Arabidopsis thaliana: one gene and its partners. The protein of the gene in region 1 interacts with the protein of each later gene in a pairwise test. Each region holds a gene or a part of one and is shown in the gene's direction. Other genes may lie near its edges.

Evidence for each region.
Region 2: the proteins of KNAT5 (region 1) and CIB5 interact in a two-hybrid assay, tested with the Arabidopsis thaliana proteins (one large-scale study listed by BioGRID).
Region 3: the proteins of KNAT5 (region 1) and RPL interact in a two-hybrid assay, tested with the Arabidopsis thaliana proteins (one large-scale study listed by BioGRID).

The regions. Positions count from the first base shown.
Region 1 is NC_003075.7:15,490,700-15,498,632, forward strand, and holds KNAT5 (homeobox protein knotted-1-like 5), read left to right. Parts: upstream 1-3,289; 5' UTR 3,290-3,427; coding exon 3,428-3,970; intron 3,971-4,354; coding exon 4,355-4,475; intron 4,476-4,567; coding exon 4,568-4,767; intron 4,768-4,856; coding exon 4,857-4,988; intron 4,989-5,069; coding exon 5,070-5,209; coding exon of another isoform or gene 5,210-5,213; exon of another isoform or gene 5,214-5,294; coding exon 5,295-5,310; 3' UTR 5,311-5,682; downstream 5,683-7,933. Other genes in the region: AT4G32030 (uncharacterized protein), read left to right, coding at 204-587, 1,654-1,710, 1,806-1,868, 1,948-2,016, 2,120-2,308; AT4G32050 (neurochondrin family protein), read left to right, coding at 5,921-6,116, 6,254-6,404, 6,541-6,677, 6,857-6,960, 7,063-7,158, 7,430-7,523, 7,667-7,781, 7,871-7,933.
Region 2 is NC_003070.9:9,082,855-9,090,917, forward strand, and holds CIB5 (cryptochrome-interacting basic-helix-loop-helix 5), read left to right. Parts: upstream 1-3,949; 5' UTR 3,950-4,359; coding exon 4,360-4,908; intron 4,909-4,981; coding exon 4,982-5,149; intron 5,150-5,234; coding exon 5,235-5,300; intron 5,301-5,401; coding exon 5,402-5,470; intron 5,471-5,580; coding exon 5,581-5,652; intron 5,653-5,740; coding exon 5,741-5,878; intron 5,879-5,982; coding exon 5,983-6,070; coding exon of another isoform or gene 6,071-6,108; exon of another isoform or gene 6,109-6,158; coding exon 6,159-6,181; 3' UTR 6,182-6,521; downstream 6,522-8,063. Other genes in the region: AT1G26250 (Proline-rich extensin-like family protein), read left to right, coding at 1,049-2,380; AT1G26255 (uncharacterized protein), read right to left, coding at 1,077-1,295, 1,470-1,622, 1,680-2,212, 2,267-2,384; AT1G26270 (Phosphatidylinositol 3- and 4-kinase family protein), read right to left, coding at 6,968-8,063. UniProt on the Arabidopsis thaliana protein: Transcriptional activator involved in cell elongation. Regulates the expression of a subset of genes involved in cell expansion by binding to the G-box motif.
Region 3 is NC_003076.8:391,962-400,667, forward strand, and holds RPL (POX (plant homeobox) family protein), read left to right. Parts: upstream 1-3,605; 5' UTR 3,606-3,792; coding exon 3,793-4,512; intron 4,513-5,212; coding exon 5,213-5,613; intron 5,614-5,967; coding exon 5,968-6,028; intron 6,029-6,365; coding exon 6,366-6,911; 3' UTR 6,912-7,164; downstream 7,165-8,706.

The DNA.
Region 1 (7,933 bases):
GCCTCGTATATAACACCATTCCCATCTCTCTCTCTCTCTTTCTCCTCTATTTCGATATTTCTTCTTCTTCTCCTTCTCTCTCCCTTCGTCATTATCTCTCTTCTGTAACTTCTCTTTCTTTCCCTCTCTCTCTTTCGCTGCTTCTCTTCTGTATCTGATTCCCTTTTTTACGGGAGCTGTAGATTTGAGTAGTGTAAGCGTCGATGAAGAAGGTTACATCGTCTAAGATTCCGGCCAAGGATGATTGGGTGGCTGTAGCGATAACTGACGACGATTTGGTCGTTGAGCTTCTTTTACGGCTGAAGCATGCCGGAACGGTAGTGTCGGATAATCCGGCGGTGATTCTCCCTCCGTTGCGGTGGGGAATCCGTCAACGACGGTCTCGTTCCTCAAGATTTGGTGGCGGCGGCGGCGTTCTCGTTTCCTTGAAGAAAGATGTCGATTCCGTTAGAGCCAGTCCGAAGACTCCTCTCTCGTGGAGCGGCGGATCTGGAAGTGGTGGCGGCTCTGCTTCTCCTTCCGCCGATGGATTCGAGGATAACAGTCGCCAAGCTAGCTGCTCTACATCTACAGGATCTGGATCTAAGGTAACTTTCTCTTTTCCCTATCGTGATTTTCAACTTTTGCCTCTCGATTTAGTCTTCTCTCTCTATCTTCTTTCTCTCAATTACGAATCCGGTAGCTCCGGAGAGATGGCAAATCCGTCATCTCGCTGGATAATCCGATTCCGATCTGGCCGATAAATCTGGATTTAGCCGTTCGTAATTGAGAAGATCCTTGGCCGTCTCTCTGTTTTTCTTCATTTTTTTTCCTAAAATCCATAAAGTTTAGCCTGACGTCATCTCTCGCACGCTTCAATTCTCACTAGAACGTATTTAGTCTGTTTTCTTCAACTTCTAACAAATTCACCGGAAAAAATTCCTCCGCCGTGATTCGCCGATGACACCGTCGGCCGGAGCCATCCTGCTTCTAGGTTAAATTCATCTAATCTCCAAAAAGTCAAAGCCACTTTAAGCTTAATTTCCTTGTTTTCTGCTCATTTTTTGTAATTAGAAAACTCTACTAATCTTCTGTAACAAAGCTTAATAAGAGACCTGTTTTTCTCGGTACGCATTGAACCGGATCTTGCGTGGCCGGTTAGATGTGGATTTTTAGAAATCGGTCAACTTTAATTTTGTCTTGAGGAATAATTAAAGCTCCTTTTAGATTTTGGGGGTAGTACAGCTTAACAGCTAGTTGGTCAAACGCGTCCGCGTTTTATTGAACGTTTTGATGCTCGAGACGGTAGCGTTTTGTGGGTTGAAAGTTGAAACGAGTAAAATGATCTTGTCGGAGAGATTGGTATCACGTGATCTTTAAAAGAGTGATGACGATAGATGACAATGCCCATGACACGGAATAATCATGATGTGGCATCAAATCCTCACTATAAAAATTCTTTCCCAATTATATATTTGAGATTTTTTAATTTTATGCTCTATTTGGTTTCTTCGATATATTTTTCTTACTTGTTTGAAATTTCTGTTGTGGGAAAAGAAACTTTTTACCGGTATGTTAAAATAAGATCTTGGGTATTGATTATAAAAGTAAAACAGTTGTCGTTATCTTCAGCCATTTAATAGTTGACTAATCAAATGCGTTTTTGTTTTGCAGGTTTTTCCCACAAACGAAATCACCAGTTGTTTCTCCAAGAGATTGAAGAAGAGGAAGGTAAATATAAAGTCTCCTTTTTGAATTTCAAGTACACACTCCAAAATTCAAATTTTATTGAGCTGATGGTTTTTTATTCTTTTAATATTTGGCAGTCATCTTTTGAGCTTAAAAATGAAGAGAACTTGAAGTTGAAGGAGAGACTTGACCTTGAAAAGGTAGATTTTCGTTGCTATTCTCTGTTTTATTATCATGGTTTTCATTGTATTCTTAAAAAAACCCAATATTTTTCCACAGGAGATTGCAAGTCTCCGAGCAACATTCGATGAACAAAACCTTAGGAACCAAAAGCTGAAGAGGATTAAGGTAACATTTAGATTCTCCCTAACCATCTTTACAGTAATCAGATATTCCAGATCCCTTCTCTCTATTTGCTGGTCTCATCGACTCTTGTGTTTTCTTGTTTCAGCTTGACTTAAACTCAGGCCGTGTCACAAACAAGAAACCTGTTGATTTGATTCGTAAATCACAACTCGAGCGGCTACAGGGATCAAAATCTTGCAAAACCAGTGACTCGCAAAATCAGGGGAGTTTCTTCGTCCTCCCTGATCTCAACATGGCGCCATCCGAGGAAGAGATATTGTACGGAACTAGCTAAAAACTGGCCTATATGAAGATTTGCGATCGAATTATAGTGAAGGGAAGAAGGGAGCTAGAGATGTCAACTAAGAAAAGTGAATGTAATAAGTGGTGTAATGAAACTCTCCCGTCACATTCTGGTTTTCCGTTTCCTTCTTTTTTTGGGGTAAAATGCTCAATTACTTCTTGATTTTTTCTTAGGAAGAGGGTGAAAATTAGGTTTTTACTTTTTACTCCCTCCCTCCCTCCCTCTCTGTTTTCTTTAATTTGATGTGTTAGAAGAAAAAATTTGTTTTAAATAGATGGTGTTATCAATTTTTAATGCAAAATTAACTACTTTTTTTTTTCTTTCTTTCTCTTTGTACCGATTTAAAAGCTTTTGTTGGAAATTGTAAAGAGGAAAAAGTAGGACAACTAATAGACTTTTTATGTTCCAAACATTTTCTTCTTCACTATTCTCCATACATTATTATATTAAAACCCTAGTTTCCGCTCAACTAATCCAAGACAAGAAGATCTATCAATCTCTTTGGACATTCATTTTTCTACTATTTAATTTGAATTTTTATAATATAAACTTGGGAGGTGTAATGCTATTGGTGGGTTGTCGGCGTGTTCATGGAAAAAGATTCGTTTTTAAATGCCCAATAAATTTGAGAAAAAATTGCCAACTTGTTTATGAGCTTATTTTCTTTTTCATGGATCCCAAGTCTTTTGTGTATAGAGATTAAAAAAAAATGACATTCCTTCATGTAAAAAAGAAAAAAATATCTGGGTTTTAAAAATATCTACAATGAGTTTAATGGTAAATATACTTATCATAATTTGGAGAATAAAGACCTAAAGAAGAAAATTACACTCTAGAACAGAAGTTTTGTAAGCAAATCATTGCTCACAAAACTTGTGAATTACAGAATTACAGGCTCTTGTAGGTTGAGTTATTTTATGCTTCATTTTGGTTACAGGCTTTATGTTGACATTAAAACAAAGAGATTGAAGTAGAGTCCAAAAAAAAAAAAAATATATATAAATATAAAATTCAAGATTAATTAAAAAATATTGGTCTTCAGAGAGATAAATAACTAGGGGAAAGAGAAAACAGTCTTCTCTTCTCCGATCCCAAAAACGCAGGAAAACAATGTCGTTTAACAGCTCCCACCTCCTTCCTCCACAAGAAGACCTTCCTCTCCGACACTTCACCGATCAATCACAGCAACCTCCGCCGCAGCGTCACTTCTCTGAAACACCTTCGCTTGTCACCGCCAGTTTCCTCAACCTCCCTACCACCCTTACCACTGCGGATTCCGATCTCGCTCCTCCGCACCGCAACGGAGACAATTCCGTTGCTGATACAAACCCACGCTGGCTCTCCTTTCATTCGGAGATGCAAAATACTGGAGAAGTACGTTCTGAAGTTATCGACGGAGTCAACGCCGATGGTGAAACGATACTCGGCGTTGTAGGAGGTGAAGATTGGCGGAGTGCTAGCTATAAGGCGGCGATTTTAAGACATCCGATGTACGAGCAGCTTCTTGCGGCTCACGTGGCTTGCCTTAGGGTTGCGACTCCCGTTGACCAGATTCCGAGGATCGATGCTCAGCTCAGTCAGTTGCATACCGTCGCCGCGAAATACTCCACTCTTGGTGTGGTTGTTGACAACAAGGAACTTGATCATTTCATGGTAAGTTTCACTTTCTAATTTTGCAAAATTTTAATGTTTTGAACTGTGAACGATTCAGCCATTTATTTCTCTTTGATTATCTGAGTATAGCAAATTCACATTTTTGTGTGGCTCATTGTTCCCGCTTCTCGAGTCTTGCAATCGATATGATCTTTGCTTCTACTTTTTTGGTTAGCTTGTAATTCGAATTATGAACTTTGTCTGACTCAAATAAGTTATATTTGTTGCATAAAGCTTCTTCTTTGATGACTAATAGTTTGTCTGATTCTTGCTGAAAAGGACTTTGCATGTCCAAGAGAAAGAAAGCATAATCTATTTTTTGTAACGTTCTGTTTGTATGTCTTATGGATTGGAATCTTACCTTTGATTATTATGTTGATGCAGTCACATTATGTTGTCTTGTTATGTTCATTTAAAGAACAACTCCAACACCACGTTTGTGTCCATGCAATGGAAGCCATTACGGCTTGTTGGGAGATTGAACAATCACTGCAATCCCTAACTGGTAACGTCCCAAATCATTTTTTTTTTTTGTTATTGTCTTCTTGCTTTATGTGTGTCTTGGTTTTATCGGTTTTTCTTTGTTCTGGTTTGTAGGAGTTTCTCCAAGTGAAAGTAATGGTAAGACAATGTCGGATGATGAAGATGATAATCAAGTAGAGAGCGAGGTGAACATGTTTGATGGAAGTTTGGACGGTTCAGATTGCTTGATGGGGTTTGGTCCTCTTGTTCCAACCGAGAGAGAGAGATCTTTGATGGAACGTGTGAAGAAAGAACTGAAGCATGAGCTTAAACAGGTAATTGCTTGATCAAGCTGCAATGGTACATCAAACTATACAAAACACATTGTTAAATCATGTTGCTCGGTTTCTTTTTTCCCCTGTAGGGTTTCAAAGAGAAGATTGTGGACATAAGAGAAGAGATAATGAGGAAGAGAAGGGCGGGAAAGTTGCCAGGAGATACGACTTCTGTACTCAAAGAATGGTGGCGAACTCACTCGAAATGGCCATACCCAACTGTAAACACCTTGGCCGAGAAGTTTTGTTACCACATTGTCAAAAGCAAGGTTTTAATTCGTGATTTGGTTTTGGAATTGCAGGAGGAAGATAAGGCAAAACTGGTTCAAGAAACCGGTTTGCAGTTGAAACAGATCAACAATTGGTTCATCAACCAGAGGAAAAGAAACTGGAACAGCAACTCTTCCACGTCATCTACTCTCACCAAGAACAAACGTAAACGGTAAAACAAGATCCGTTCTCTTTTTCAAATTGCGCAATTTCATTAAACCAACCCGGTCAAGATCTTCTTTTGTAACCAAACTCAGGACCGGGAAGTCGTAGGTGACATAGCGGCTAACTAGAGGATGGTTCTTTGCCATGTGAATTCTTGGGAACCGTATATGAAAGAAACGAATCCGGTTCTATGCTCGTACAGAGTGTGTTATTTGTATAGTGGATACCGGTTAGCCTATGAAACCGGATTCTGGAGTCCAAATTGTTGTTTGTAACGACTTAGTAGTTTTTGGAAGTGATCTGTTTCGTTGGTTTGCGTCTTGTAACGAACGCTTAAGCAAGTGTGGGTTTTTTCTTGTAAAGTGTCAATATGTTCGTTTGTAATGAATGTATCAAGCAATATTTATCATAATTAAACTAGCTTGAAATGTAGTATTACGATGTTGTTGTGTTCGTCTGATTTCTCTCACCGGTTGATGCATGGTTACGTTCGGCTCGGTTTTTATATGGTTCAATTTTTAATATATCGATAATTTTAAATGATTTCACTTGTATTATTAACAAAGCCCATTGGTATTTGGCCCAAAATCTGAATGCCGACTTAATGACTTGTTTCTTCTTCCTTCAGCTTCTCCAACGAACGGCTTTTGTTTTAGTTTTTTTTGCTTACCTTTCTCTCGACTTGGTCTACTTTTGTTACTCTTTGAGTTGGGTGATTATGGCAGCAGCACCACAGGAGGAACGATCTCCGTCGCTTGACGATTGCCTTAAGCTATTGAAAGGGGAGAGAGACGAGCAGAGGCTCGCCGGTCTACTTCTCGTCACCAAATTCTGTAAGAACGATGACATCGTTTCTCTCAACAAGGTCTACGAAGCCGTTGGTACTCACTTTCTCGACCGTCTTTTCCGTACTGGTAATCAAAACCCCGAATTATTGATCTTTGTCTCAGTAAATACTAATATCAATTTTGGGGTTTCTACAAAGTGTGAATTTTTTAGTTGAGATACTAAAGTTTGTTGCTCTGACTGGTTTCGATTTTTTGTTTTGCAGGTAGTGGCAGTGGCGATGGGGTTGATAATCGTGATGTGTATCTGCAGATATCTATCACTGTTCTTGCTGCATTCTGCCGTGTTCCGGAGATAGCTTCTTCAGAAGAGATGGTCTCCAGAATTCCCCTTATTCTCGAAGTAATGTCCAAAGGGTATGTTAGATCACCTGATTCTTGCATTTGCGACTTTCCATGAAGTTTTTTTTTTAATCAAGCTTTGCTTCTGTGTCTTCAACTTTTTGCATATTGTGATTGCCTAAAGTTAGGAAATTGGCTTTTGGAATTTCAGAATAACTACAAACATGCTCGAAGATTGCTATGAGCTTCTGTATTTGGTGTCCACGGCTTGTGAAGCTGGTCTCATGACTTTGATTAACTCTGGAGGCTTGAGAGTGATAGCTCCCCAGATGTCTGAGTTACCTGATGGTAATACATACTCTTTCATTGGGTTTACATTCTTTTGTTGTGTATATGATGCACATTAGATTCCATTGAATGCTATTTCGGATTGATTATATTTGGTGTCAAAGAAAACGTGCCATGTTGAGGTAGATGGATTTGATAATAGTTTTTCACTGGGAGCTAATGTGAGACATGTTATTCAGGTTCACATGCCATGGAGGTTGCTATAAAGATTCTGCAGTTATTGGTTAGTAAGCTTGATTGTGGGAGCATGACTATTGAACGCTTCTTAGAACTGTCTTTGGTGGTGAGTCTACTTACTTGGTTACTTTTTGTTTTCTTTTCGCAATACTTACTAAAGCTGCAATGCTGAAGTTGGACTCCAAACATAATGTTAACTTTTATTCAGATTGCTGCTGTTGCACGGCAGTTTGCGGTGTTGCATAATGCCCTGAAGTTTGAAGCACTCCATTTACTGTCTGCAGTCTTCTCGTCAGAGTATTCTGTGAGTTTTCACTTCTTAACTTCCTCCGGAAAAGTATCTATAGTTACTAGCATGATTTATGTAGATTTAATGCAGCTAAATTTTCAAAATTTCTGTCCATTGAAATTGGAAAAATTAAAGTTTTATTTTCCTTTACTTGGAGAAATACAGTTGCCTTCATCGTCTTGATGTTATTTAATATGCATGTTATGTTTCCATTGTAGAAGCTCTACATCTTTGTTTTGTGTGCTTATCTTTTTATATGTCTCTCATAGAAGTTCGTTATGCTTAGGAACTTCTTCATGAACCTCTTCGTTCCATGCCCGACAACAATTGGGCAGACTATATGCGCACAGGTGTTGTGGCAATTCTGCAGAACCGTGTGGGTAAGTTAGTAGTTTGTTTGGAACACTGGAAATGGCATACCCATTAATGGCATTCTTTTCTTGCCAGCCCTGAATTTCATCTACTTGTTATATGACAACAATCCTCTCAAGATACTTAAGAAACCTGTCTTGTTCATGTGTAGCACCTTCCGAAAAGCTTCATGCGTTGATTCTGGCTGAGAATATGATGTCAATATTGGGTGAAAAGTGGCTTCTCGGCGGGGTAAAATTACCCAATGTTGATATTCCAGCTGATAGGTAAATACAACATCTTTGTATTACACTCTCACTTAACCTACATTTTCCTAGTGACATAAAGATTAATATCATTCTGATTTCTTTTGTAGGTGTCTTCTGTTGGTATTAGAGTCATCGCATGTTGAAATTTCTGTATTGTTAAATGATCTCGC
Region 2 (8,063 bases), on another chromosome or scaffold:
GGTCAAAGTTTGGGCTATATCTAGCATGATGCGATACTTCTAGTGGGGAAATATACCGTTTTTCCGCTTTCTGCGTTCCAGTTTTCTCATAGTCTAGGATTCGATTATCAAACAGAAAGGCTAAATGCTTTTTGTGGACTGTGGACACCTGAGCCTATGTACGCGACTAGCGATATGGTTACTAAACATTGTATTTGTATCACAGAAAGGGTTCTGATACGTGACTAGCGAGATATATGGTTCTACTAAACATTGTATCACAGAAAGGTTTTGATCGATATGCACCAACAATAAGTTAGAAAACTATACAAATCAATAAACAAAACATGGAATTTACGTTGACAACTTCAAAGTTTAAACCAAAACGTTTCCTCTGTCATGGTTGCCGATAATTTTTAATTGTATATGTGAAAGGAGAAATCTTCTATAAAATATGTATATAAAAAAAATATCCATAAGACCATAATTGTTTTTGAATTTGCAAGCAAGTTGTTGTAGTCTTCTGATATTATTTAGAGAGAAAAGAACCGACACATCCTGGAAAACATATTTGAAACGTGGTTTTGGAACATAAAGCAAAGGTTTTGCAAGGTCAATTATAAAATCTGTATGTATTAAGACAATATATATGTTTGTGTATCTTGGAACGAAATCTAATAGATAACTTATATTTACAAGTCGAATGATAGAGAATATGGAAAAATTATTTTGCTTGTTCCTTATAGCAACTAGGGCTGCACTAATGACGTCCAATTTGGATTGAAAACTTCAAAGTCTACCCATCCGGTTTAGGAATATGGTAAGGGGTAGCTACCAAAGACTTCTTCCTAAGTTTTACCTTTAACAATTTCTCAAGTTAATTTGACTTATTTAAAAATATAACCATGTTGCACTAAGAAACATATATACATAAACTTAAATAAACAACCATACCAGTTGCAGTGATGACCGGCTATATAAACCGCTAGTTTGTAATTAACAACACATTCAAAAATAATTTGGTTAGAGAGTCTTAAACGAAACTAAGAGAGCACACAAGTTTCTCAACATGGCCAGTCCTAATTGGCCATCTTTACTTATGGTGGTCTTAGCCTTGTATTCCATGGTTGCGTATACAAGTGCTCAATACTCTCCAACACCAACACCGTATTCACCGCTTCCGCCATATGTTTACAACAGTCCTCCACCATATGTTTATAACTCTCCATCGCCTCCTCCATATGTTTACAAACCCCCTCCATATATCTACAGTTCTCCCCCACCACCTCCTTACGTCTATAGCTCCCCACCACCTCCTCCATATGTTTACAACTCTCCCCCACCACCTCCCTACGTCTATAGCTCCCCTCCACCTCCTCCATATGTTTACAAGTCTCCCCCACCACCTCCCTATGTCTACAGCTCCCCACCACCTCCTCCATATGTTTACAAGTCCCCGCCACCACCTCCTTATGTCTATAGCTCTCCACCACCTCCTCCTTATGTCTATAGTTCCCCACCACCACCACCATATGTTTATAAGTCTCCTCCACCACCTCCTTACGTCTATAGTCCTCCACCACCACCGCCATATGTCTACCAATCTCCTCCACCACCTCCTTACGTATATAGCTCTCCACCTCCTCCTCCTTATGTCTACAAGTCGCCTCCTCCACCACCTTACGTCTACTCTTCTCCACCACCACCTCCATATGTCTACAAATCTCCTCCACCTCCTCCTTATGTCTATAGCTCTCCACCACCTCCTCCATATGTTTACAAGTCTCCGCCACCACCTCCTTACGTCTACAGTTCTCCACCACCACCTCCATATGTCTACAAATCTCCACCACCGCCTCCTTATGTGTACAGCTCACCACCACCACCTCCTTATGTTTACAAATCTCCTCCACCACCTCCCTACGTCTATAGCTCGCCTCCACCACCTCCCTACGTATATAGCTCGCCACCACCACCTCCATATGTTTACAGCTCGCCACCGCCTCCTCCATATGTATATAAGTCTCCTCCACCACCTCCTTATGTCTATACTTCACCACCACCTCCTCCATATGTTTACAAGTCTCCTCCACCACCTCCATACGTCGATAGCTACTCACCACCACCGGCTCCATATGTTTATAAGCCTCCTCCATATGTTTACAAGCCTCCTCCATATGTCTATAACTACTCTCCACCGCCAGCTCCATATGTTTACAAACCTCCCCCATATGTCTATAGCTACTCTCCACCGCCGGCTCCATATGTTTACAAGCCTCCTCCATATGTCTATAGCTACTCTCCACCGCCGGCTCCATATGTTTACAAGCCTCCTCCATATGTCTATAGTTCGCCATCACCACCGCCTTACTATAGCTCTCCCTCTCCACCACTATACTAACCATTTACATACATGATGAAGCGAGACTCAAAGTAAGAGTGTATTTAATAAGTGTATCCACACGGTTTAAAAGCTTTCCCTTTCGAGACGTTGTCATTATAAGAAATGGAATTATGTGTGTACTTAAATATCTATGTGCATTTTCGCTTTGGCTTTTTGCTTTTGATGTTGTTTTTCCTTTGAAAAGACCAATGTTTTGTCTTCCATTTATAACTGTTGAATAAATTCAATATTTTTTAGACGATCGGGTAAATATATTGAACAAACGTTGTAGTAAAGATCATATGGAAGTTTCAAGAGTCAGTAGCTCAACCGTTTATATCTAAGAACATTTAAAGTTAGCGGTATGATGGATTTGAATACCGACTGTAATAAAACTAGTTTAAATTGTTATATATGGCCGAAATTTATATGGAAACTGAAACTTGAAAGCTTTAGTATATCTTAGTTTCTATCTTAATTAGTACATGTATTGTAAAGGTCAATACGAGGATTGATTGATTCATTTCAACAAGAATATAAAGCGAAAATTTCCTAATTATATATTTTAATATATGTATAGACTTAGTCTAGGGGCATGCAATTAACATTTTTGATCCGGCATGGATGGTTCTCAAATTGGTATTCTAAGTTGATCATCCTTAAATGGATATTAAAATATTTTCAAAGTCACGAATTCGAACACCAACGCCAAAATATGACTGAAAAACATTATAAATTTATCATAGCTTAGTTTCCATACAAGACAATAGATCCATAATTTTTGTTTAACTAGAAAATGTTATAAAAAAAAAACAAAGGTATGGGAGAAAAAAAAACACATCCAAAACCACTGTTTAGGTGGGCTTGTCTTCAGGACGGGCACCACAACTCACCAGTTTTGAGAATCACACGACCTAAAATCACACACAAAAATCTAGGAAGAAATGATAAAAGTAAAAGGTGTGGGTTGAATATTCTTAAAATATTTATTTAGGTCTTTAGCAATTGAAAGTCCCAAGGCCAACTAATTATGTCCTCGGCCCTCGTGCTCACCGGACCGTCCAGCAGCTCCCTCCTTCACTTTTGCATAATAGTTTAACAATTTAAGTGGTGTCAAAAAAAAAAACGATTACAGCTTGATATTGGGTTGATAGGTAAATCGTGATAAAACATACAACATTTTTCTAAGCACATATTAAGTTGATCTAATCTAAAATGATTCTTTTACTTTCATAGGAGCTAGCTCGACAATTACACGAGTTGTGCTATCTTTGGATGGGCATGCATGTAAATTACTCTTTTAGAATTCCAAAATTTGGACCTATGACACTACTCACTAGCCAAAAATCTCTAAGAATTGAGATTAATGTCTTCATTTTTTATTTGAGACGTTAATTTCATCGGATTTGTTAGGCTTCTTTTGTATGAAATCCTTAGTTTTGCATTTGACCATTTCTCAAAACACCCTAACATTTTTAATGTTCAGATCATGGCTGTGTTTAATGTTTATGTTTAATGATCATAAGCTCTGTTTTTAATGCAAGCGTGGGTATATGAATTCAGGAACTTTTTTTTTTTCATTCTTCTTAAACTCGTTTTTAACTCTCCATCTCTAAAAAGACCATCAACGCTCTTCTCTTTATTGCAGCAGAAACAGAACCCAGTTCAATAAAGCTTTTTGGTAAGAAAATTTGAAAGGAAAAGATATTTGAAAACTCGTAGAGAGAAAGTGGCACAGAATCTGAAATTCTGACACTTTTTACCACGAATAATGATTCTCTTTTGAAAAACATGACTCAATGTTTTCTTTATCTTTTTCTCTGAATTAAGGTTTGTTTGTACTTAAAGTATGCTCCTTTATCTACCGTTGACTGATTCTACTCTTTTATTCTCAACTTTTCTCTGATTTGCTCGTGTGTTTACTTCAATTCCTCAGTTCTTGTGTAGAAAGTTGAGTTTCATGTGATCAAAATTGGGGCTTTACTACTTTTAAGAGAATGAGTGACAAAGACGAGTTTGCCGCAAAGAAGAAGGATTTGGTCAATACGCCAGTGGATTTGTATCCTCCGGAGAATCCAATGTTGGGTCCTTCTCCGATGATGGATTCATTCAGAGAAACTCTTTGGCATGATGGTGGTTTCAATGTCCACACAGATGCAGACACTTCCTTTAGAGGTAATAATAATATTGATATACCTCTTGAAATGGGTTGGAATATGGCTCAGTTCCCTGCAGATTCAGGATTCATTGAGCGTGCTGCAAAGTTTTCTTTTTTTGGATGTGGTGAAATGATGATGAACCAACAACAATCATCTCTTGGAGTTCCAGATTCAACTGGCTTGTTTCTTCAAGATACACAGATTCCTAGTGGATCCAAACTAGATAATGGTCCTCTTACTGATGCATCTAAGTTAGTGAAAGAGAGATCGATTAATAATGTATCAGAGGATTCTCAATCTAGTGGAGGTAATGGTCATGATGATGCTAAGTGTGGGCAAACATCTTCCAAGGGGTTTAGTAGTAAGAAGAGGAAAAGAATTGGGAAGGTATAGAGATTTGTAGCACTCCTTTTGTATTTTGTGTTTTTTGGTCTTTCGTTGATAATATTTCTGTTGGTAGGATTGTGAAGAAGAAGAAGATAAAAAGCAAAAGGATGAGCAAAGTCCAACTTCAAATGCGAACAAGACAAACAGTGAGAAGCAACCTTCTGATTCTTTAAAGGATGGGTATATTCACATGAGGGCACGAAGAGGCCAGGCTACTAATAGTCACAGTCTTGCTGAAAGAGTAGGAACAATATTTTTTTGAAGTTGAATAGAAAGCAAATTTCTTTTGTTGTTGTATTTGAATTTGGTTAAACTTGTTATCGTAGGTAAGAAGAGAAAAAATCAGTGAAAGGATGAAGTTCTTGCAAGATCTTGTGCCAGGTTGCGACAAGGTAAGTCCTTTTCTTTTTAGATGTTGATGTCTACATGTAGAAGAATGGAAGCTGAAGCTGTTTTCTTTTCATATAAATGGGACATTGCATTTATTGTGTAGGTGACTGGTAAGGCAGTTATGCTCGATGAAATCATTAACTATGTGCAATCACTTCAATGCCAAATCGAGGTTTCCCTTTGTTTGCTTTGGGAATTTCCTATTTTCTTAGTGTCTGTTCTTGAGACTTCATTTAATTAGCAACCTCACTTTGTGTTAGTTACTTCTTCCATGCATTTCAGTTTTTATCGATGAAACTTTCGGCTGTGAATCCTGTGCTCGATTTTAACCTCGAAAGCCTCCTTGCAAAAGATGTAACATATGTTGAAACCCTTCTCTTTCTTATCATTTGACGAGTAACTTCATTGATATGATGTTGATGTCTTCTATATATTCATGCAGGCTCTTCAATCATCTGCACCGACATTTCCCCACAACATGTCGATGCTTTATCCTCCTGTATCGTATCTCTCTCAAACAGGATTCATGCAACCGAACATTTCCTCAATGTCGCTATTGAGTGGAGGATTAAAACGGCAGGTACATATATTTGGTTGCGCATTGTACTCCAACAATAAACATATCTTTGCAGAATCATTTCTTTCTCTTGCATTCATCTAATATTGTTAGTGAGTTTTGAACAGGAAACACATGGATATGAAAGTGATCACCACAATCTTGTCCACATGAACCATGAAACCGGCACTGCACCTGATCATGAAGATACAACAGGTGAAAGTAAAAGCCCTATAAGTTTCATACTTTTGTAACCAGATACTTGAAACTCGCTAAAGCTTTTCATGTTTATCTGATCTTACAGCTGACATGAAGGTGGAGCCGTAGATGTTTCTTCTTCACTTTGTACTCAGCTTTAGCTGCTGATATAGTGCGCCGCGGTCGAGAATTTTATTAACTTCGAACAGAAGAGTGAAAACGAAACAGAGGAGGAAGCAGATTTTGTCTTTGAAATATTGACAGCTCCCGGAGAAAGAGTCGAGAGTAAGAATCAACAATGTTGTGTAATGAATAGCTACTGTCTGCTTCTTTTGTAGCTATTGTCTGCTTCTTTTTTGTACATATAAATCCATGCAAGGGAAGAGGAATGTTAATTCAACACATGTGCACAACATGATCATCACATATGTACTTCAACTTGATCAATCGGAATTAGCTCTACTTGGCAACCAAATCTTCAAACACTAATAATGTCACGAATCCCTCACAATTTGATGAACGATTCAAACAGTGAAGCTAAATGTGGTGTACTCGATAGAAGCAGCCATTGGCATGATATAGAACGATTGACGGGTGATGATATGAAACAACAAAATGAAACAAAGCTCTCTAACTTTTCTTTTCTTTTCTTTTTTCCAAATCTACAAGTTATTTATATCACAAAAGATTTTAAGAAGTTAAAACAAAATGACAAACGAAACAAATGACTAATTTCTCTTCATCTCTCGAGACTCCTCCATACTAAAAGCTGAGAGTAACCAACGAATATTTACACTAAATCCATTCCACTCATATCTTCACCTTTACGCGTTTCCAACAATCCAGTCTAAGCAAAGCCCTTAGAAACACGACTTTACACGATCCTTTTATTCTTCTTCTTCTTCTTCAGTCTTCTCAAAACTGACAAGAAGTCCCCAGCCTCTGCCTCTGCTTCTGTCCTAAAGTTATCGACTTGCGCTTTTCAATGGCTGGATAAAGCAGCTCTTGATATTTCTCCAGGAAAATCGTCCACTCTTCTTCGCTCATATCCGACAGCTTCACAAAGCTTGTGCTTGATGGGATCTGTTCGTCTGCACTTCTGTGAGCAGATGATGCATATGCGCTCTCCACTCTTGCTCCTGGGTGTTTCTGATACTTCTGACTCTTCTCACCAAGAAGAGTGCTTTTGAGAGACATTGAAAGCTTAATCGTCGGCATTTTCTCTAGATCAGCTCTGTCATTCTCTTCCTCCTCTCTGTCTTCTTCTTCTTCTTCTTCCCCATCCTCTGTTGTTTCTTCCACCTTTGACAACTGACCACGAGCATTTCCAAACGTGAGTCCGAGTGGTAATGCTAGTTTTTTCGTACAATCAGTTACTTCCTCACAATCTATATCAAACTGGAATTCAATATCATTTCCCAAGTCTGATCTTGGGGACTCAGCGTCTTTCTCTCCTATCAAACTCATAGCCTCAAGACAAACCACTTCAATCTCACTCGGCTCCTCATCTCCAGGACGAACCTCTCTAGTCATCATCTCACCAATTTCAGCCAAACAAAGGCCATTAGCAGCAGCTTCCTTGAGAAAAATTGTGCAGAGAACTAGAACACGGAGACTGGCCTCTCGTACCATTGGAAGTTCCCTCCGCAGCATCTCACAATCTCCTAAAGGATCCAGATTTGCTATGTACTTCAGCTCATCTTCAGAGAATGGGATCGATGCCTGTGGCCAATGAATCCACTCAAAGTAAGGGTCCTCTAGAGTTTCAGGCAAGCAAAGACCATGATCGATTGGAACTAGCTCCACCTGGCCAAACATACCATCACCATCCAGTTTCTTGACCAAAAGGTTCCCTGAGTGCCTATCTGTATTTAAGATTCTGATGTCAAGAATCCCTATACGGTGTACAGCTGAAACAGGGAAATTTGATGTTCCGTGCTCGCTAGCATCATAATCATGAGGTATGAACTGCTGCAAGGAAGCAATCTTGCTCACCAACATCTTCTCCATA
Region 3 (8,706 bases), on another chromosome or scaffold:
AGTTGAGAAGCGATGCTCAGACTCTTCCCTCAGTGCAAAATGAAAAATGGTAAATCTGCAGAGTTTTGCAATAGGTCCGTTAGCTAGGTACTAAATTCAAGTGGTCTGCTAATACCAGGACTAGCCATAGACACCAAAGTTAATGTGAGGTTAGTCGCGATTGAGCTCGGGCGACTACAAACTCTTGACCTTCAAGCACTTTAACAAGTGTTTACCTCTCTTGAGGACACTTCTACCTCAAGAAACCGGATCATCGTTTATTCGTTTATGAAATTAAGTTCTTGATTCGTTTTCACATATTTTATCTTCTGTTCCTTATAACATCCTCTTCCTCATGAAGTTGATTGGCACGATTCTGAAACACGGATCCTTATTTGGATTAGAATGCTGTCTCGAGGCCGTTTGAGAACTTGGGGGCATATTATGAATATCCCACAACAAATAAATAAGGGATGGTTTCTTATCTTCAACATCATTTTAATCCTCACCTCTAACTCAATATACATACACTCGCCTTTGGATGAAAAAGCAACATCACATGACAAAATCTTTCTACAACCCTTATCACTGCAAAATCTCGATCAGCCAGACAATTCTCACCACTTGGGTTTCAAGCCTTACACATCCATGTTGTTTTAATAAAATTCCAAACCATCCCCATTATTTTTGTAACTAGGGCTCCCCCATGAAGTTATTTTTGTGCAATATACTAACATTTAAGAAAAAAAACCTAGAAAATTGAAATGATACAATTATTATGAATTTACTAAAATTAGAGTCGCAAATCTAAGCGCGCATTACATCTATAGAGGCAGATAATGAAAAATATATGTAATTTTTTTTTGGGTTATATACTATTTTATGTTCAGCCAAGAAGGTGAAAAAGGAGCGATTGCTTAAAAATGTTTTCGTGTGGTTACCCGTGATGCAATGTAAAAAGAAAAAAGAAAAAAAAAAGAAGAGAAGAGAAGAACTAATAATTACGTGCACTTTAATTTACTGTAATACTTTATTGGAGTGCCTTGGTTCTTTTTCAATTTTTGTGGTCCATCTTAGCCAAAAGAGGAAATACTTTTATATAATATAAAATATTGTAACGCAAAGTATTGCTTAGTATTCGAAACACATTTTTTCAAATGATTTACGTCCCATTATTTCCCATGCAAACGGAAATATCCTCTAATGATTATTTCAAACACGATTATTACAGTACAGTCGAAATTACTTTCCCGGTTTAATCATATTCTGGCATATCTTATAACATATTTTTTGCAAAGGTATTCGCTTTTGTTTTTGTGACAAATTATTTATTAGGTTTTTAAATTATTACAAATAACTCTCACAGACGTATGTAATCCAACACATAAAATATATGGTTGATAAGAATTCACATCAATTTTGATTAATTTAGGGACTATAAATATGTTATATACAATAATTAATCTATGCATCTTTTTTAATCATTGTGATTGTTCTAGTTATAATAAAATATGGTTGATCACAATTCACAACAATTTTGATTAATTTATGGACTATAAATTTGTTAACATAATTAATCTAGGCATCTTTTTAAATCTTTGTGATTTCTCTAATTATATAATATGAACTGCAGAATTTGATTGTTCTCAATGTATAATCTTACGGGTCATACCATACCATCCATGCTTTGAGTTAGGGATGTCAAAATAGGTCAAAATTCATGGGTCAACTCAACTCAACTCAACCCATGAACCCTAATGAGTTGAAAATTTTGACTCAAATGAGTTGATGAGTCAAATGGGTTAATGAGTCAATTGGTTTGATGAGTAAAATGAGTTGGGTTGTAATGGTTAATGGTTTCAATGGTTTACCCAATTAACCCATCAAATTTTATAAAATTGAATTAAACCAACTAAAATCTCTAAACCAATGCCAATTTAAGTTTAACCAACACATCTAAACAAATTTAATAAAATTAATATTTTTCCAAATTTCTTAAATATACAAGCGATGAAATTGAGAAAAAATAAATTCGTAATTTTTCCACCAAAAAACATAAACCCGTGATTTTCTCGCCAAAAACGTAAACCCGTGATTTTCCCGCCAAAAACGTAAACCCTTAATTTTCCCGCCAAAAACGTAAACCCGTAATTTTCCCACCAAAAACGTAAACCCGTGATTTTCCCGCCAAAAATGTAAACCCGTGATTTTCCCGCCAAAAACGTAAACCCGTGATTTTCCCGCCAAAAACGTAAACCCGAGATTTTCCCGCCAAAAACGTAAATCCGTTATTTTTTCGCCCAAAACGTAAACCCATGATTTTTCCGTCAAAAACGTAAATCCGTGATTTTCCCGCCAAAAACGTAAATCCGAGATTTTTTCGCCGAAAAGCTTAAACCCGAAATTTTCCAGCCAAAAACGTAAACCCATCATTTTCCGGCCAAAAACGTAAAAAACTATAATTTTCCTGTCAAAACGTAAATCCGTGATTTTCCGTACCTAAAACGTAAACCTGTAAAAAATAAAATCCGTAAATATCTTAAGTTTGATGATAATGAATTAATAATGATAATTATTTATTATTGTTTTATAATAATAATTAATTAAATTATTACTTAAATGGGTTAACATCTCAAACCATTAAATTAAATGAGTTATAGGTTGACCCAACACATTTAACAAAATGAGTTGGGTCAACCCATAACTCATTTATTCTTAAACTCATTTGATTATAAGTTGAGTAGAGTTGGGTTATCCATTTTGATATCCCTACTTTTAGTACTATAGCTACAAGCCTACAACTATGGAGATTAGTGTGAATGTATGATTGTCGAATAAAAATAGAGTGACTAAATATTTTAAGCGTAAAAAGGTATTTATTCCAGCAAAAGAAAAGAAGAAAAACGACAAAAAGAAGACTTAAAAGTTGTAGAAATGTCAGTACGTATGTGAAAGACTGAGACACAGAACACTTTGTACAAGAACCAGTTCCAGTGTCACCGGTTACAGCCGGTCGCCTTCTCTTGATTCCCCAAAGCCTCTCCCACCAAACCCGGGACTTTTCACTTTTCATCAGTATTTTTTTTTGTTAAAGATTTTCATCAGTATTTTATATATATATATATATTATAAAGATCGAATTTGTTTGCATGATGAGGAAAGTATATCGAGTTACTATGTATCCATCGTTTGAAATACCCGTTTTAAAAAAAAATAATGAGATTTATTTTTAGGACTTCAGTATATATACGATTAACTTTTAACAGTTGTGTGACTAAAACGAAATGTAACAAAAATAAGAGAAAACTACAAAACAGGTAGTGAAAAATGACAAAAAAATTGTAGGACGCTAAGACGAAAAAATGATTCAAGAAAGAATATGTCTTTTCAATTTCAGTTTTACGAAATCGTGTAATAACGTAAATACTAAATCACGATTTCACAGAACCATATAAAATACTAAAATCCCACGCAATCATTAAACTTAATTCACCATTCTACGGATGACCTATGAGAGAGCATTGAATTGGCTTTAGTAACAAACACCAAAAAGATGAATCTTGACCAAATTTGTAATGCTCATACTAAATTCCTCCAAGTCTTATAAACATTAGATATTTTATATTTTAGGTTTTCAAAATATGTCATATAAAGAAAAATTTGATATACATATTGATCGTGCTTCAAAAAGACACCAAAAGAGCTTCTCTCTCTCTTAACCTCTCGTTTCGCCATTATCTCTTACACTGTTACTCTCTCTCTCTCTTCTTCTTCTTCTTCTTCTTCTGCATCTCATCGACATCATCCTTTCCCATGGCTGATGCATACGAGCCTTATCATGTTCTTCAACAAAGCCGGCGAGACAAACTTCGTATTCCATCTCTCGATTCCCACTTCCACTTTCACCCTCCTCCTCCTCCTTCCTCCGGCGGCGGAGGTGGCGTCTTTCCTCTCGCTGATTCCGATTTCCTCGCAGCCGGTGGCTTTCACTCCAACAACAACAACAACCACATATCTAACCCTAGCTACAGTAATTTCATGGGATTTCTCGGTGGCCCTTCTTCTTCTTCATCCACCGCAGTCGCCGTCGCCGGAGATCATTCCTTTAACGCCGGACTTTCTTCCGGAGACGTTCTTGTCTTCAAACCCGAGCCTCTATCTCTATCTTTGTCCTCTCACCCTAGACTCGCTTACGATCTAGTCGTTCCCGGTGTTGTTAACTCCGGATTCTGTAGATCTGCCGGTGAAGCCAACGCCGCCGCCGTCACCATCGCGTCTAGAAGCTCTGGTCCTCTCGGACCTTTCACGGGCTACGCGTCGATTCTTAAAGGATCAAGGTTCTTGAAACCAGCACAGATGCTTCTTGATGAGTTTTGTAATGTGGGTCGTGGGATTTACACCGACAAAGTCATCGACGACGATGATTCTTCTCTGCTTTTTGATCCGACGGTTGAGAATCTCTGCGGTGTTTCTGATGGCGGCGGAGGAGATAATGGAAAGAAAAAATCAAAACTCATCTCCATGCTCGACGAGGTATACAATAACATGATCAATTCTAATCTCTTTAAATTATTGAAATCTGTAAATTTTCTTTAATTATTGTCTATACTTTCTTACAAGTATGTGAATTATTGTGTTAAATGTTCACAGTTTTTGGTCGGTGTCCTTTGGAATTGGAGACAAAATGTGTTAAATGATATGTCTCTTAAAAAGATCTTCCTTGGAAAATGAAACTCCTTCAAAGCCATTTTAAAATTATATGATATTTTATTTAATTCATTATAATACCATATGTTAATTAAATTAATGTTCCCTACGTTTTGCATGAATAGATGATGTTATAGCGTCCATTTTAATACATTATATAAATTACAAGCTTGCCATCTTCATGCTGATTTTTAATAGAATTTTAAGGTTATACTAAAGTAAGGATAATATTATCTTGAGGAAGTAACTTTATATAGAGCTTCCTTAGCTCTTGATCTGAATTTGTGAATTAGATTCTTCAAATCTTAGGGGTATAAACATTAAGTGATAAAAAGAGAACGTCTTCTTTATGAAAGGAATATATGCATTATATGATCTTAAAGCTAGGGACTTAAAGATTTTAATTAGTTTATTCCGAGGTATATAACATACTTTTTGAGTGAGGAAATAATGTATAAATTTATAATCACCCATTTTATTATGTAAGTGGGGGAATCTAAAAACATTTCCATGTGACGTTTTGAAGGTTTACAAGAGGTATAAGCAATACTATGAGCAGCTACAAGCTGTGATGGGATCATTCGAATGCGTTGCAGGTCTCGGGCACGCTGCTCCGTACGCTAACTTAGCCTTGAAAGCATTGTCTAAGCATTTCAAGTGTTTGAAGAATGCTATAACGGACCAGCTTCAATTCAGCCACAACAACAAGATCCAACAACAACAACAATGTGGTCATCCGATGAACTCTGAGAATAAGACTGATTCTTTAAGATTTGGAGGAAGTGATAGTTCTAGAGGCTTATGTTCTGCTGGTCAAAGACATGGATTTCCTGATCATCATGCTCCTGTTTGGAGACCGCACCGTGGCCTACCCGAACGTGCTGTTACTGTTCTAAGGGCTTGGCTCTTCGATCATTTCTTGCATCCGTAAGTAACCCTTCTCGCCATATAAATGCTTTTGAAAGTTGTTGGATTCGAGTTTGAACTTGGTTCCAACAATTGATTAAACTAAATGCAAACGTTTAATTGATCATGAACCAAATTGTATATATATGCTTGTGAACAATAGCTTTATATGTGTGTGTCAGTGTGAATAAATATGTGTGTATCGAAGTGTATTTTTACTTGGAAGTATGTTTTAGATGGGACATGTCGACTGCTTGTTTGTTTCCCAAACTTGGAGATGTCGTGTTGCAAGCGTAATTATGTGTCTATATATATGTGTATGTTAGTATATACAATGATATATTAAATTGTTGTTGTCTGTGTCTTTTGTTGCAGTTATCCAACAGATACAGACAAACTCATGCTGGCTAAGCAGACAGGTCTCTCCAGAAATCAGGTTTCACTTCTGATATCTTCAGTCTTCTTCTTTTTTCTCTTTCCATCTTTTCTTGTTCACAATTTAACAAATTTCTTGCTAATTAAGCATGCACATAGTCACATAGATAAATATATGCTTTTATGAAATGAGTTTCTGTTGTCGGACAATAATTATATGTTTTAAATCTTTTCACATATATCATTAGTATAGTAACTATGTTATAATTTGGTTTATTAGGTTTGAATAAGTGTTACACTTTTGTTTTTGAAAATTTATCCGTTGGTGATAATGAATAATTTAGGGATTTTCTATCGCTTGAGGGTTATTAATTTATTATGGTAAAATGTTATTTTAGGTATCGAATTGGTTCATAAACGCAAGAGTTAGGGTTTGGAAGCCGATGGTGGAAGAGATTCACATGCTGGAGACTCGACAATCTCAGAGATCTTCTTCTTCCTCTTGGAGAGACGAACGTACTAGCACCACCGTCTTCCCTGACAACAGCAACAACAACCCATCTTCGTCCTCGGCACAGCAAAGACCTAACAACTCATCTCCGCCTAGACGGGCACGAAACGACGACGTTCATGGCACAAACAACAACAACAGCTATGTAAACAGTGGGAGCGGCGGCGGTAGTGCGGTTGGTTTCTCGTATGGAATTGGGTCGTCGAATGTGCCGGTGATGAATAGCAGCACAAACGGAGGAGTGTCTTTGACGTTAGGGCTTCATCATCAGATTGGGTTACCGGAGCCTTTTCCGATGACAACTGCTCAGAGGTTTGGGCTTGATGGTGGTAGTGGCGATGGTGGTGGTGGGTATGAAGGGCAAAATCGTCAGTTTGGGAGAGATTTTATTGGTGGTAGTAATCATCAGTTTCTACATGATTTTGTAGGTTGAGATTATTTGTGTGGAAAGGAAAAAATATGTTTGACGTTTGGGTATGTATAAGAAGATATGGGGGAATTGAAATGCATATGATGTGTATATTAGAATGTTTCTTCTTCTTTTTTTGTTGTTTGCTTACTTTCACAAATGTTATCTTTTTAAGAAATGAAATTGGATTCAATAACCAATGTTAAAAACATGGGTTAGACTTTAGAGTTGTCTATGTCTTGGTGAAATATAAAAGGCATCTATCATTGTTTTAATATTTTGGCATGATTCAAAACATGGTGCTTTTTTTTTTTTTATGTATGTCACAATTATCGTTGAAGAACGCGATTAAGATGTTTATCATTGATCGTTGATATTATATTTTGAACTATCTTGTTTTACTTGATAGTAAACATTGACTAAACAACATGTTTTCAAACCCTAAACCTTGAAATATTTCAGACTATTTGAGTTATCTTTTTGAGTCGGATGCAGTTTTGACTCCGATCCGCTCAACATTGTTGAATTCTTCTACTCATAAAAGAAGTTTGAGCCGATTTCAAACACACAAAACAAATGAGTTCGGTTTAATGTTCAGTGTGTACTAATACGTTGGCTTTTGAAGATCACATGAGAGCAAAAGTATTGAAAATAAAATTGTGCTTTTGTTGCTTCAAATAACTTTCCATTTGCTTTTGGAAAACAAGAAAGATATATATATATATATATATATATATATATACATAACCTTTCCCTCTCATGGGAAAAAAGTAAATCTTTTTCTTTGTAGAATTTATTCTCCGATCCTAACCATTTCTCAGCCTTTTTGTTTGTTTACACCATTTTTGTTTATATTCTTGGATTATGTCTATATAGAATAAGATGTAAACATAAACTGTATTAGCAAATATGTTTTGAATTATATGAAATTCAATAATTGAGAAGAGGTTCATGTAATGAGCCGAGAGAAGAATATAAAAGCAGTCAAATAATTTTTTCAAAAAACTATTTGTATATTAAAAAGGTACAAAGTAAAAAATAAATTTAAGAAGGTGCCATCATTGGCTCCTAAAGAACAAACTACAAAGAATCAATTTCTCATGATTTGATCTCTCACAATCCGTCTCCTTTATGTGGATGCGGAAAAACACTCTCCACACGTTTCATGTAAAAATTTTAGTTAAATTTCTAAAAACAATAGAGATACTATTCGATTTGTTCTTGAATTATTCATGAATACATATAGTGGCAACCTTAGACACTAGCCACGTCAACCGTACATGTTATATCATATATTTTTATATTGGTCTATCTATATGCTGAACTAGAGTCTAGAGATAAATATGAGAACATATAAGAAACCATGGACAACTAAAGATATTGTCTTTCTGTGTGAGTATTTGTTCCAGAAGCATTAAACCTTCGGAATAAGTATAATTCTTTTGCACCATTACTATTTTTATAAGCTTCACCAGCTCTATATATATTCTCACCATTAACATAAAACAACAACAACACGAAGAAGAAGATGAAGGTACTTGATGATGAACGGGTAATCTGCATCCTGAGGTTTAAAACCAATTAAGCATATACATATGCGAATGTATAGTTTTTAATCCTCGGGATACAGTTTACCTCTTCCTTACTCAAGAAAACACTTAGCTTTAACGGTTTTGGAGAAAGAAGAAGCATCGAATTAAATCCATTTGAAACAGGTTAGTTATCTTAGTGAAGAATATATCCATCAATCATAATTTGGTCTAGTCATTCGAAGTGGGATATGATTTGATACATATAGTCTAAAATATGATTTTATGCC